2 linked regions of the Lytechinus pictus genome follow. The protein of the gene in region 1 purifies or fractionates together with the protein of each later gene. This does not show direct contact. Links are inferred from orthologs where the notes say so. Each region holds a gene or a part of one and is shown on either strand. Other genes may lie near its edges.

What was found. Proteins that work in one complex are often made in the same cells at the same time.
Region 2: the proteins of ataxin-2-like (region 1) and protein LSM12 homolog B-like purify together in Homo sapiens (affinity purification with mass spectrometry; 4 studies listed by BioGRID and IntAct, with this or other methods). This does not show direct contact. The link is inferred for Lytechinus pictus from reciprocal best matches to the Homo sapiens genes ATXN2 and LSM12.

What each region holds. Positions count from the first base shown.
Region 1 is NC_087246.1:36,084,864-36,092,446, forward strand, and holds the start of ataxin-2-like, read right to left. Parts: upstream 3,099-7,583; 5' UTR 2,641-3,098; coding exon 2,573-2,640; intron 1-2,572. UniProt on the Homo sapiens protein: Involved in EGFR trafficking, acting as negative regulator of endocytic EGFR internalization at the plasma membrane.
Region 2 is NC_087257.1:24,888,740-24,896,474, forward strand, and holds the start of protein LSM12 homolog B-like, read left to right. Parts: upstream 1-4,625; 5' UTR 4,626-4,656; coding exon 4,657-4,810; intron 4,811-7,096; coding exon 7,097-7,233; intron 7,234-7,735. UniProt on the Homo sapiens protein: Nicotinic acid adenine dinucleotide phosphate (NAADP) binding protein. Confers NAADP sensitivity to the two pore channel complex (TPCs) by acting as TPC accessory protein necessary for NAADP-evoked Ca(2+) release.

The DNA.
Region 1 (7,583 bases):
ATTCATTTTCTTTTTTTTCTCTAAATTTTGTCTTTCCTTTTTTTCCTGTTCTTTGTTTTTTATTTCACTTATTTATTTTATTATTTTTGTTTTCTTTTAATATACTATTCTAAAAATTGTTTTTGTTTGTTTCCCCCTTTTATGCATTATTTTAATTTTTGCAGCATATTTTTCTGTGATTTTCTCCTGCTATAATATGCTGGAAAAGAGAAAATAAACTGGATTTGGGGCCTACATAATCTCGGTTTTAGGATTCAAAAAGGAAGAAAGGAAAAATCATTGTTTTGTACATCTATCTGAGTTTGCTATGCACTATTTATTTACTTTACCATTATGAGTGTGTGTCTATACAGAGATTTTTTTTTAAGTCCACACAACCTGGGAACAATACATTTCTTTTATTCTCTTTCAATCATTTCATATTTACAATGATAGAACGATTTATATATTACCACAAATCAATTAGCAAAGTAAAATAACAGCAAACAAGATTTACATACAAGATGTACAAATTGAAAGTAACTTAGTGGTAGTGGCTGCAGAATTAATATTTCAAAAGTTTGTTTTATTCATTTTTAATTAATGTTTTTCTTTATATTTTTCGGGCCACCAAACTTTAACATCGGGCCACCAAAAAAAATTATTTGAAGGTTTTGGTGGCCCGAACAGGCCACCACCAAAAAAAGTTAATATGGAGCCTTGATGTACATCTATCCCAGTTTGTTATGCATTATTTATTTACTTTACCATTATGAGTGCGTGTGTTTAAGGAGATTAAAAAAAAGTCCACACAACCTGGGAACAATACAATTCTTTCAATTCTCTTTCAATCATTTCATATTTACAATGATAGAACAATTTATATTTTACCACAAATCAATTTGCAAAGTAAAATAACAGCAAACAAGGTTTACATACAAGATGTATGATGGGGGGACCTAAAGCTACGCACTTTGTTTACAAACAATAAAAACTATGCCAATTTTAATATTTGAACAAATTATTTTTCACTTAATTGTGGTTAACATTCCAAAGATCATTAACCAAGAAGAATATATCACAAAACTCACTAATATGAAAATCCCGCCGTGTTTTCCGAACACCTCTTGATTTCGCCGCCCAATGTCGAAGGGGTCCTAAAGCTAGGCACTCGATTTGTCATACACAAAAATAGTATTTCCTGTGTCTCAATTTCTAAAATATATTCATATTATTATAGAATAATATGAAATTAAAGCAAATATAACTCAAAAATTCCAAACAGTTGTGGGTTTTCTCTACATTTAGAGATTTACTGCAGCCTCTGTAGAAAAAACTGCATGCGCGATGATATGAGTGGTGCATAGCTTTAGGGCCCCCTACCATACAAAGTGAAAGTAACTTAGTCAGTAGAGGCGCACGGCCAATATGGGAGACTGTCTCCCATGTGGGAGGTTGTCTCCAATATCAGAGACTTTTGTAAAGAATTTGGGTATCCTATTTCCGAGACGGTCTCCAGTTTGGGAGACCAATTTCCTTTGTTTACATTTGCTGCAAAAGGATTAACTTGGCAGCAAATAAAAATATGATAAGCAGATTCCTCATGAAAAATCTCCCCTTTTCACCGTCTACTTTGAAAATTCACCGTCTACTTTGAAAATTCACCATCTACTTTGTACTTTTGTTTTAACTTTTAAGGATTTTTGTTGTCATCCGCACACAAAACAAATGGGCTTCTGAGCTGACCTCAGCGAGACAAAAATTTGGGGTGGAAAAAATTATGCTCTTGTTGGTGTCGTTTCTTTTGTCCTTTTGCAAAGCAAGTCACCAATATGGGAGATTGTCTCCCCTATTGGAGAGTCTCCCATATTGGTCGTGCACCTCTCTACTGTACAGTAGTGTTACTTGTGAGTTGTACTTGTAGTTGTTGTAGTTAGTACTTGTGCAAGTTGTGGCTACAGTACAGAATTAATATATCAGAAACTTGTTTTTTTCATTTTTAATGTTTTTCTATATATTTTTCGGGCCACCAAAAAAATTATATGAAGGTTTTGGTGGCCCGAATGGGCCACCACCAAAAAAAAGTTAATATGGAGCCTTGTTATATCTTAACTCAAAATCAAATTGTTTTTAGGTGCACAGACTAGTGCCTTTTTTGTGGACCACCATATATCATACATGCTGCTCCTTAAATCCCTCTTTTTTCTACATAAAATTCATGACTACCGCTCCAACTTGATGCTGAATCTGTAATTTACCGGACTGGGATTTGTTCTAATCGTATCTTAGAATCTCCAAAACAGTGGAGGGATCACCTAAGAGAGAGAGAGAGTTAGCAATATACCGCCGCCATCGATACAGAGAGTCTACATGATGTAGCATGCACACACTTTTCAATAGCAAAAAAATGAGTCCGAGATGCCACAACCACCCGTCTGTTTACAAACAATCGGCCATGATAAAACACTAGTTCCAGATAAAAACATACAAATTACTAGTTTTCACCTCCTTGCATAATTCACAAAGATCACCACTGTTAAACTATTTCATCATCAAATCACAACATAATCACAATTTTCAACATTTTACTGACCTGCCGGTGTTACTACTGTTCGTTTTCACGACTCGGTCGCGGTCACGGGTAGATCGCCTACTATTCATTATGATACCGGTGTGAAACTAGCGCACGTACGCGGCTAAAATCTTTCGAAAGAAGGTAGAATTCCGAAGAAATCAACAAAATCAGTCCCTCATATCGATAATTTTCCGATTGGTCAGGTGATACTGTTTACAATCAAACAATAATATTTCCAATAGGATACAAATTCGAGGTACAATATCGAAAAATGTCCTGATTTTCAGGTTCCACTGCGTGAGAAAGTTACTACGGCAGCTGGCGCACTAATTTTGTAAAGTTGATAGTGGACGCAAGTGTAAAAGGAAAGATTAAAAATCTTTTTTAAGGGATTAAATGTCTTGCATATATATTTATTAGCTATCAATCATCGATTGAAATTAATTTCGTTTGAACTGAGATTCACTGTATCTTTAAGATACAGAACGATCGATATGAATAAGAACTATATTTCATAGCGCACTTTTTACTATCATTGTAGTGCAATACGCCTCGGCGCGCAGTCAGACATATCAAAAGGGGTTACCATGACCTATTTTAGAACTGGGTCTTTTAATTTAGAAATTATTATTTTACACTGTGATTTTCCCATAATTATGACCTTTATCTTGACAGTCATATTAAAGGGATGGGTTTTAATGCTTTCCCCAAAATTGTAATTGATCGAAACTTTATTGTTATGAGTGGCAAATCATTCCAGTTAAGTATTATGAAGCTGGCACAGTAAAAGTTCTATTGTATGCCTATAGGCAGGGGCGTAACAGGGGTCGGTGATGGCCAGGCGGGACCAAGAGCCCAAAATTTCCCGGTCATGAAATGGATTTTGATGGTTGTGCCCGAGCATTAGGGCGAAGCTCAATGTGTGATAAGTACAAAAAAGAGGGGGCACATCATGGCGCGTGCGGCAAAATGTTGCTATATAAGCCCGGTATATAAGTCCCGAGCACAGTACAATACGCCAGACGGTGGCCTGTACTTATAGAGAAGAAGAAGAAGAGCGAGCGAGAAAAGAAAATCACCTTTTCATGCATGAGAATCTAACTTAGTATTTTTGACATTTTTACCTTAAGAATGGAAATTCTGAGCACTTTTTGTAACTTAAATAGAATAGGTATAACAATCGATGAGAGCGGAAAATTTCTAGATTTAGACCTAAAAACGAGACACTCTATTCTTCATTTGCAAATCATGAGTAATTGGTGCTCTTACTTACATTAATAATGCGAGCGCAAAGCGCGAGCAGAAATTTTTTATGTACGTTTTGAACTGATCGAAAAAGTACCTGTTGAGGACTGCTTATTGCACTTAGAGTGAGCATAGCGAGCGAGCAAATTTTCAATAGGTGGAAGAAAGAAGTATGCCCCCCAAAACCTTAAGTGGTATGTAATAATTAGCACATCATGGTTATATGTACAGGGGGTATATAACTGCGTGGATAATACCATTTTTCACTTGAAGGACTATCACGGTGTCTTTTTTGTTTCGATGGCTATATTGTTATGGATTCGTTGTGACGAATGGATTACAGAAGTATCCAAATGCGAGCGAGCGAAGCACTTAGCAAATTTTCCATATTTGGAAGACAGAATGATGACCAAGTCGTATTTCAAGGAGTGTAATTATGGGAGAAATTGCAACGATGAGCGTAGTTAGCGATCGAGCGTTAAAAAATTGCTTCAGTCGTTTAAAATGATGATGACAAAGGTATTATCAATAATATAAACTTTTGAACAAGAAATATAAAAAGAGAAAATAGGGATTAAATAGTCAAGTTTTGTTCTATGAAAACTCATTTGCTCATTGTTTAAAGTGAGATGAGAAAGATAACAAAAATAAGATCATGATTATCGGGAATAAGGGTGTCATATTATTATAAAATGATCATAGGCCATCACAGGATACAATATATAAACTTTAAAAAGGGTATATCACAATGAAATTGTATATGAAATGGAAAGATTTCGAATAATCTTATATTGGGAGATGATGCAACATTTGATATTTTGAGCAAATAGTTCTATAGTGTTTCATTAACGGCATTGATCTGATCAGTGTTTTCAGTGACTCATCGTACGCTTAACTTGAAGAATACGGTAAGCCAAATATTTTTTAACAAAATCCCCCGCTTCCACAAAGATACCAGATGACCCCCCCCCCCCATATTCACGAGAGGATATTTGGATTCGTTATGATAAGTTATAATCATATTTAAAAGTAATTGGAATCACATATTCATAAATGGACTAATTATAACTATACTCCCATGATGCAGTGGATATAACCTTTGCTATAGTGATTTGTCACGACCAAAGTCTTGTAAGAATCGATTGAACGCGACCGTGCGAGAAATCTTCGCAATTTTTTAATGCAAAAGTAGGCCAATTTAAGCACTTTGTTAGCATTTGAAGATAAATCAACACATTAACAGTAGTATTAACCATTTGATGATTTAAAAAATTGTTTTTTTCTATCTTGAAAGGGGGGATGATTGGACATGCCACCCCCCCCCCCCCCCTCTCCGAAAAGTGGGGGGATGTATCCCCCATCCCCCGGGATTTACGCCCGTGGGGGCAACACACTAGTTTTGCCTATATATATGTTTCACAAACTCGAGCGAGAAGCGTGAGCTAATTTTTTTCAATGTAAAGGCACTACTGACTTGAAAAGGGACTTGTTAAAGGTCAAGTCCACCCCATAAAAATGTTGATTTGAATATATAGAGAAAAATCTAACTTTATAGCATAATGCTGACAATTTCCTCAAACTCGGATATGAAATAAGAAAGTTATGGCAGTTTAAAGTTTTGCTTATTTTTCACAAAAAAGTGATATGCACAACTCAGTGTCATGCAAATGAATCAGAATGGGGGTATCACTTTAAGTAGTCATGAAAAAGAAGCATATGTCACTACATATAAAATAATAATAATTCGAAGTGCGAGGAAATATATTTGGTATATATATTGACTTGAAAACAGGAGGTTTTAGTACAACAGGATTATAAATCCCGTAAAAAAGATAATGCGAGCACCAGGAACAATGAAGACATATAGGCCCTGGGCAAATTATTTTTCATAAAGTTATTATTTTTTTAATGTAATATAACATAATATAATTATAATGTAATATAACATTATAAATTAACAATAATTTCTTCTTTCCCACTACGTTTCTCTCCCTTTCTCCCTCTTTTTTCTCCTCCCCCCTTTTTTTGGCCAGCCGATTGGGGGGGCACGTGCCCCCGATGCCCCCCGTAGTTACGCCACTGCTGATGGAGTCATCCAAGAGCAACCGGATATGATATACGCTGCACGCTTGTGCAGTTTATTGAGTATTTCATTATTGTTTTGAAATCGATTAGACCAAACATTATATTTCATCATAATGAGACACATCATTAACACATGTATGAAAAAAATGAAACAATTATGATTTTATGTAAAAACATAAGAAAAAGGGAAGTGGCGATGTGACATCATCAGCCCATCTAATGAATATTCATGACGATGTGCATATTACTGTTTTTACAAAATATTGATAAACTTTAAAATTCAATAACTTCATTATTTGTTATCCGATTTTGATTTTTTTTTTAATTCAGCATTTTGCTCTGTGAATTTTACTCTATTTATTTAGATATAAATATAAATATTTTCAGCCCGGACCATCCCTTTAAAGTGCGAGTATAGCAAGTCAATGAGCTAGCCCCCGCAATGCATTAAAATGCCTAGCCTTTTCTATTCAAATTTACCTCACGACTTCACCCAACACGAATACTAATGCCGTAAAATCAAATTATTAAGTCTAGATTTATCTGTTTTCTCTCTTTTTTTTGTCAAAAGCGCTCTGATGTTTTATCATTCTCCACTTTTTTTTATATTTTTTTTAAAGAAAATGGTTCGGGCGCCATATTTTCCCTGACCGAGGCTATAGTTATCGAAAAAGAATTAAGCTTTATTTTTGTCAATAACTTTTCATGCCAAGCTTTATTTTGGGGGAGGAAATTCAAACACACGACATGCAAGAAAGAAGAATTAAAGAGAAAGAGGAGGAGGAAGAATTTTGTTTAAAATCTCTTTTATTTTCATTTTTTCTTTTTTAAAACTGACCATAATGTATGTGCAATTTTACGTATATGTTTCCGGAAATTAGGTCCTACTATCCACTGTCTGGGTCATCATACTCGGACTGCTATTGATTATTTTTGATGGCATTATATTATTATTGATTACTATTACAATTTTACAATGATTGAGGTACGTTTGACTCACCAATATTATTAATACATGTAGCCTAAAGATTGAGTTGCCTCACTTAATCATGTTTATATATGTTTATATATATTCTTAAAACAAAGAAAAAAGACTTAATATCTAACGCGGGGTAATGAGCGAAATTTTTTGACAGGGCTAGAGATCATATCACGTAAAATTGATAAGTTGCGAGCGAGCGAAGCGAGCGAGGAAATTTTATCGACATTTTATAACGAAAATCCAATTTTGTGATATTTTGACGTAACATTCAGAAAAAAATATTATATATCACCCTTCTCTCTTTCCTTTTCTTGCTTTTCTCTTTTGTATTTTCTTGGTCGTGATTTTTTTTTTTTTTTTTTTTTTTTTGGGGGGGGGGGGGGCATAAGCCCCTCAAGCCCCCATCTGTACGCCACTGCTTATCTACCCACTCACTTGACTCTTAAAACTTGAAGGCACGTATTGGATTATTCTTACAAGTTTTTTCCTTCATTATAAGCAGTAAAGAGGATATTGTTTTCTTGTTTCAAAGGGGCACTCATTAACACATAAAAAAGGTCCTTCTCAGATTATAGGGGCATGCAGAGAACACATTCGTGAGGGGCTCTTTTATTGGGTAAAAAGGGGCACTGATAAGAGAAGGCAAGGGGCACTTGCTCACACATAAAACGGGTCCTCGCATGACAAGGGCACAGTTGGCAATGATACGAGAACTTG
Region 2 (7,735 bases), on another chromosome or scaffold:
AGTTGCGAATGATTTTTAGAGTTGCAATTGATTGCAACTCTTTCTGCAATGGGCCCCAGAAAGCTATTATATATTGTTTTGCTCGAGCGTTCTGATCATTCATGCTATTTTACTCCGATGGGTCTGTTTTTAAGACTATTTTACGAGAGCGGTATAAACACAAAAAAGGAGAAAATACACTTTTTTATTGGAACTGACTGATTTTACAATACCACCTTTCCACTCATTCACATCATTACAATCTGCACCAATTAAGTTGGTATGGTTTTAATTCGTCATATTCCAACCGCATTTACTTATTTTATTAGTAGTGGATGAAGTAATTTTGCACGTGAGAGTATTTTTTTCCGACATGAAATAATCTTGCAGCACTATTCAAATGTTTATCACGTATAGTATTATGATCCCATAGAGATATCAAGCCGTATTGAAGAAATATGTTAATGCCCTACATTAATTATGTTCATGGTAAGATTTTTGCTGTATTTAGGCAATTTATGCTCTTTTAGAAATTAAGATTTTCTTACGTGGAAGAGACGAGTTTTAATCGCAAAAATTGTTCAAGAGTGTTCCTGCCCGCAGCAAGAAGTCAGTCCTTTTGACAAGAAAGGAGGTTATGAACATGGCGTTATCCCTCATAGCCTCCAGCACTGCCTCCCTCTTGCGGTGGATTTTAGTTAATCTCTTCGTCATTATTTTTGTTCAGTAGCAGACCGCGGAGGGAGGGTGGGGAGAGAGGGGGAATTACGGGTAAGGCTATTAAAAACCGCAAAATATTAAAGAACTATGGCAGCGGTTCAATTTCGGTGTATAGCTCTATCCAATAACGAAAACCACAAAACCTATTCTTTTGTTGTTGATCGCTTTTATCGGCTTTATTTGGCTAGTGAGGAATTTCAAATCCTACTTTATGTTTTATTTTTATTCATGTTAAATCCTACTTTATTAAAGGAGAATGAAACCCTTGAAACCAGCTGAATCCATATCAAAGAGAAAAATCAAAGAAACATATTGTTGAAAGTTTGCGGAAGATTGAATGAATAATAAGAAAGTTATGAGCATTCGAATATTGAGATCACTAGTGCCATGTAGATCCTCCCAACGGCAATGCGACCAAGATCTGTGATATCACACACGTACAACTCCCTCATTACTTTAGTACTTATTTCACTTATATTCTCACTTTTATAGAGTCTATCACAAGGTGAGGTGTTCTCTTTATGAGATGACAAGTACAGAGGTTTCACAACATTATATCATTGATGAATCGTTTGTCATATGATTAGAATGAGCAAAAAGAGATGTTTTGGGGTATATTTTCAGTGTCCAAATGGGAGAGTTGTACGTGTGTGACATCACAAATCTTGGTCGCATTGTCAATGGGAGGATCTCCATAGCATTAGTGATCTCGACATTCAAATGCTCATAACTATTTTATTGCTAGTCCTATTTTACTCAAAGTTTTGTTGATCTTATTCTTTGATTTTTCTGCTTTCACAAAAGCTAACTTGCTCCAAGAGTTTCATTCTCCTTTAATGTATGTATATTAACGTTTTCCTTTAAAAACAACTTTCTTCTCTCGTTGGGAAGGCGTTCTACGCCTTTATCCACCTCCTACCTCTCTCTCTCTCTTTACCCCCCTCCCCCGCTCCAATAGTCTCCCACATCCCACTCTCTCTTGCACAACTCTCTTCGTCCTTCCCATTCCCTCCTATATAATCTCTTATTTATGCATATAAACATTGAAATATTGAATTAAACTTGATTGACTGTGATCTTCTAACCAAAATTATTAACTCGATATTATTTACAACAGAAATCGTCGACTCGGTCCGACTGGAAAAGAATTTCCATCACCCCCCCCCCCCCCGCACATGCCCTTTGACCTACTGTGTTTATGGCCCGATATTCCTTAACAAAAAGGGACAGGGTCACTCATGGGGTGAAAGTTGAATAGTGAACACGTCACAAACAAAAGCATCTCACTGGGAAACGTCGAGAGTCACTCCGCTCATGACGGAAAACGGGACAACAGTTGCTCGCTCGCGCGCGACAACAATATTTTTGTTCAGGTCGTGCGGACTGTTTGGTAATAATAACGCATCAGGTCGATCTTTTAAAAGGTGTTAATATTGATTTTGCTTATTCATGTTAATTTGTACCGTTTTTATAAGGATGCATGAGGGAATGTTTAAAGGTGTGGAAATTCATTTAATGAATCCAGGAAGTTTTTTGGTAGGGGTTTTGTTTTATTAATATAGTTGGGGGCATAAATATATAAACGTCCTGAAGGTGAAGTCCAGTTCTTCTCTTTTATATAACACTTCTTTAATTGTTTCGTGACATTTTGTCCCCTTTTCTTTCCTTTATATTCACTTTTCCTCTTATTTCTCTTGTTAAAAAACTAAAGAGTAGCCTCTCCCTGTAAGCACCGACCCTGAACACTAGTACTCATAAAGTATTATTTAGATGCGGGGAATATAATGATACCTCATTTTAGAACAAGTTTGTGAAAAAGTTGATTATTTTGTGCAAGATTACACATTCGTAAGTTCGCTAAATAATTACAATAATAAGTTTTCTTCTTATTCGTCGCGCTTGGGCGTCTGATCAGCAGTAAGCATAATGGAGACTGAATAAGTCATAAAAAGAATCATGAGAATCGCCTAAGAATTCCGCCATCCCGTTAAAGTGATAACAATATTTTAGCAGGTTAATTGGAGGCTGTTTACTTTTCAAAATGGTCATTATATTCAACTTTCATCTCTGGTGAATGTAAATATTGGTTAACTCCAAATAAAACTGAACAATATTTTAAACCATTATGTATATTTTCCGGAAAAATAACTTTGTTATTATGTTTGTATATCTTTTTTCTGCTAAAGACGATAGCAATATGGTTGCCCGATGAATTGAACCGGTCCAATTTTCCCTACAGTGTTCTGTAAATAGCCTAAATGTGGCCATTTTCTCGGTAAATTAAAAATTCCATTGTCAAAACGTCATAAACCACCTGCAAAATTATTGGAAGTAATCGGGGACAACCGCCCAATATTTTCATGGTTAGTGGAAAGATACACACCAAATGGCAAGTTAGGGTTCTCATCGACGTCAAAATATTTGCTCCAAAAATTGCCCCGGTTTGATGAAGAATAAAAAGCGAGGCATAACTTGCGGGCATTGTGAGTGAAAACATTCGGGGCGTGAGGGGCATTCATTCTCCCTTGATTGTGGTGCAAGAGTTTCCGATTCGAGAAATAATAGTCATAATTTTATTCTCGTTTAAAATGGTGGGGTTTGTTCATAATTTTGCAAAGGAAACACCCCCAGGACAGGTGCCTATGTAGGACAGGTTCACACTGCAAGGACAGTCATATAGTATATCAAAGCAATTATTGATTATCAAGGTTCACATGGTTCAATACAAAACCGGTCCTTTGCTATAATTTAGCTCTATTAAAAATAGTTTTGAGCAACACTGAAATACATCTATAATGAATCATTGCTGATGTGAATGAATGTCAAATGGCGTTTCTCATAATTATGTTCTAAGCTTCATATATACATGTAGTTATATCATTTCTACAGTTCATTTAACAAATCTGTCGAAAAAATGTTTGTTTGCTTTCGTCTCCGAACCAGATAAAAAAAATACAAGAAAGGACATAATGTGAGAAAAAAAAAAACATAACAAGCGGAGGATAGCCAACATAGAGCAACGTCAATAAAAATACCCTGTTCTCATCGGGGTCCTGTTGCAGACAGAGTTGCGTTGAAACAAAAGCCCAAAAATCATTCGCAGGTCCCAAATGCGCGCTGTTGATTGGTTGAAAATCAAGTTGCGCATGATTTTTAGAGTTGCAATTGGTTGCAACTCTTTCTGATCTTTCTGATCATTCACTGAATGAAAAATGGTGGTGATTAATCATAAAGCAGGGTAGGATAAGGAGGGGGGGGGGCGCTTTGTAAAAATACAATTTTACATGTTCTGTTAAATATCCTCATCCTTCTGTGTGTTTTTTTTTTTTTTTTGTCACCATTTTTTATTTGATTATTTTTTGTATTGTAGTGCATCTCTTTCTTGTAGGGCAACTTCCATTGCGGTTATCAGATTTCTTAGATCCGATCGAGTCTTTTTTTTTTGGAATGAGCACATTTTGTTGTTTGTTTGTCATGATTTCTCTCAAGAAATCTATCCTCATCTAATCATAATAATATATCATCATCATCATCATCGCCATCATCATCATCGCTATCACCACTACCATCACCACCATCATTATCATCATCATCATCATCATCATCATCGTTATTATCATCCTCCATCTCATCATCGGCATCATCGCTATCACAACCACCACCAACACCATCATCATCATCATCGCCATCATCATCATCGCTATCACCACCACCATCACCACCATGATCATCATCCATCATCAACATCATCGTCCACTTTCATCATCGATATTGTCATCCTCCTCCTCATCATTATCGCTATCACCACCACCACCATCATCATCATCATCATTATCAATGCAGTACGTACACCTATGAAAACGAGTTTAAGCCGTTCATTCACGACGCCATCTCCCGTCCATAATAGGAATACAATAACAATAATATTGCGCATGCGCAGATTGTACATCGCAGAACATGATTATTTTCAACATGGCAGCCGGGTCCGCTGGGGAACCGGGACCTCCACCGTGCAAAGTCGGCGACATCGTTTCCTGTAAGACATGTCTGGAGGCTAAAATTGAAGGAGAAGTGTTGGCTTATGATTCCAATAGTCGACTACTTGCCATAAGTATCCTTTTGAATGCAAAATATGTTGTTGAAGAGACATGAGCATGATGAGTAGAGAAAGCCATGGCATGATGACCGATGACCACGGTCCACAGCACAGGCACAGCCAACCACCACTCACTCGTGTGACTGTGAATGTGAACTGACTATACTCTAAGGATGGGGGATCGGGTGTCCGGACACTTTATATTTTTGAAGCCTTCTTTTTTGTCTTAAGATTACACTAAAAATATGAATTCAATAGTTGTAATCATCTTCTATTTTGTTCTCTATAATATTTTCTAAAATTTTGTACTAAAAATTGATGAAACTTCGCTTGTAAATTTTTCCAAATGACTTTCTAAAATTGATCGTCGGGACACACAACCTGTCCGGACACACAACAAGTGGGTATACTGAGTGAGCTAGCCTATGGCTATGGGAGTATGGCTGAGCGCGCCAGCGCTACACTACACGAGTGAGAGTGGCTGTAGGATGTTCGATGTGGTCGTGGCTATGTCATGGTGGCATGATTGATGGTGATGTATGGTGGTAAGGCGCTAATGCAGTTTCGCATCGGCCGATTACCAGCATACCTCATCACCAATACTTGTTCCCAAATGTCATGACAAGTCAGTCACATTTCGAGGTCAAGACAATATACCTAGCCAGGCGGCTTCTAGAGAGTAAAAATCATTTACTAACGTAAGGTCACTCTCATACGAAGCCAGGGCTTACGTCATATACTTTTGCGTGTAATCGGCCGGTGGGAAACTGCATTAGCGCTTGTCTGCGCATATCTGCGTGATTTCTAGTAAAAGAAGACACGAGACTACCACAAAGTAAACTTTCATAGCCAATACTTATCTGAGCTGACTCAAAATGGTGGAAATATAATGAATTTCGAGCATTTCATGTGATGACCTCAAAATGCAGCCCTTTCATCAAAATCCCTGAATCGTGTCTAACGTGAATGGGTCACATGCGTAGCCAGGAGGAGGCTCCTCGAGAGTAAAAATCATTCAACTAACGTGTGCTTACTCTCCTCGGAGCCAGGGGTTGTGCCCCATTTATAGGCGTACATCGCGGTCAATGATGCAATTTTCGCCCTCGAGATTTCTACTTTCCCTGTTAAAAGATCTAGCCCTAAATCGTGTAAATGGGCTAGAACTTCATTTCCAACATTTATAGAATATACCGGTATATAGAGAATATTTACATGTACACACTACACTCTAATATTCATGACTTGATCTCATTGGACATAGCCTAGCTAGTGAACAGCTAGAGCTCTATCTTTGATGTTGATGTCGGTCAAACTTGCTCTAACTCGGTCTTTGACACAGTTTTGATGTTGACTGAAATTAGCAATCAAAATTAATGCTTGCACAGCTGGTAGAGTTTTTAAGAAATAGGGGATAAAATTTTACTGATATTTAGCTCCAATATTGCGAATGTGAACTATATTTTTTTCTGCAAAATTTGTTTTAAAGAATTGTAAAACGTGCAGAAGGAGCAATGTGAAAGACTCTGTATGCACCTTTACGAGTGGTTGCTCAGTAGAACCAGAAGTATATAACTTTTCGGACATCCGACCGTTACGAATCAAATTGTGGCAGGACTCCTCCATTGCCCATTCTTTAAAGGTCAAATCCACCCCAGAAAAGAGTTGATTTAAATAAATAGAGAAAAATCAAACATGAATAACGCTGAAAACTTCATCAAAATCGGATGTAAAATAAGAAAGTTATGACATTTTAAAGTTTCGCTTATTTTTCACAATACGGTTCTATGCTCAACTCAGTGATATGCAAATGAGAGAGTCGATGATGTCACTCACTCACTATTTCTTTTGTTTTTTAATGTTTGAATTATACAATATTTCGATTTTCACGAATTTGACAATTAGGACCCCCTTGCTTGAACCACAAAATGTTAAAATAATGGAATTCCACGTGTTCAGGGAGGAATGAAACTTTGTTCACATGACAATGACGAGAAAATCAAAATATTTCATATAATAAAATACAAAAGAAATAGTGAGTGGGTCATGTCATCGGTCCCCTCATTTGCATACCGAACAGTATGTGCATATAACTGTTTTGAGAAAATAGGCAAAACTTTAAAATGTTGTAACTTTCTTATTTTACATCCGATTTTGAAGAAATATTCAGTGTTATGCTTGTTTTATTTTCCTCTTTCTATTCCAATCAGCTTTTTGTTGGGGTGGACTTGTCCTTTAAAATCTAATCAAGCTTTAGAATATTTTTGTATCTTCATCTTCCTTAATGACAAACTTCAACTTCAGAAAAACCGCCCACCTCCAGCGAAAAGAAGAGCTTGTGCGATATTTGCATTGTGAACCTCAATCTAGTGAGCGATTTCCAGATCAAGCATGAGAATGCTGAACCACCCAGAGAACCGCCCTCTCTTGATGCCAACAAGGTAATGATGCTGTATTGATTGATAACTTGTGGGCTGTTTCTTGATTCATGGATGTCCACTCATTAATTTCTGTTAAGAGAGCCTAAATGGCTAGGCCTACACTTGATTCAATATTACTAATAATTACTAGTAATCCTTTTACATGGTGTTGAGTACATTGGAATCGTATATCTTTGTAATATAAGATACAGATTTAATTTTACCCCTTACATGATCAGATTTTTGCTTACCCACCCATGCTTTCTCCACTCCCTGGGTAGCATTTCAGCGAGAATGCCCAAACTCAAGTGCAAGATGCACTACATTTGCTTGTATAACTTAATTGGTACCTGTAACTGGCAAAGTGTACATTTGTTGATTGAAGCCTTGACAGAGGAGTTGGTGCTGAGTTGGGATAAGAAGACTCGACCACCTGATTTCTAGGGGAAATTCAGAATTACCACACCACAATGCTTCTCAATCTCAGTCTTATTTTATAATTATAAACAGGTTTGTTAGCTGT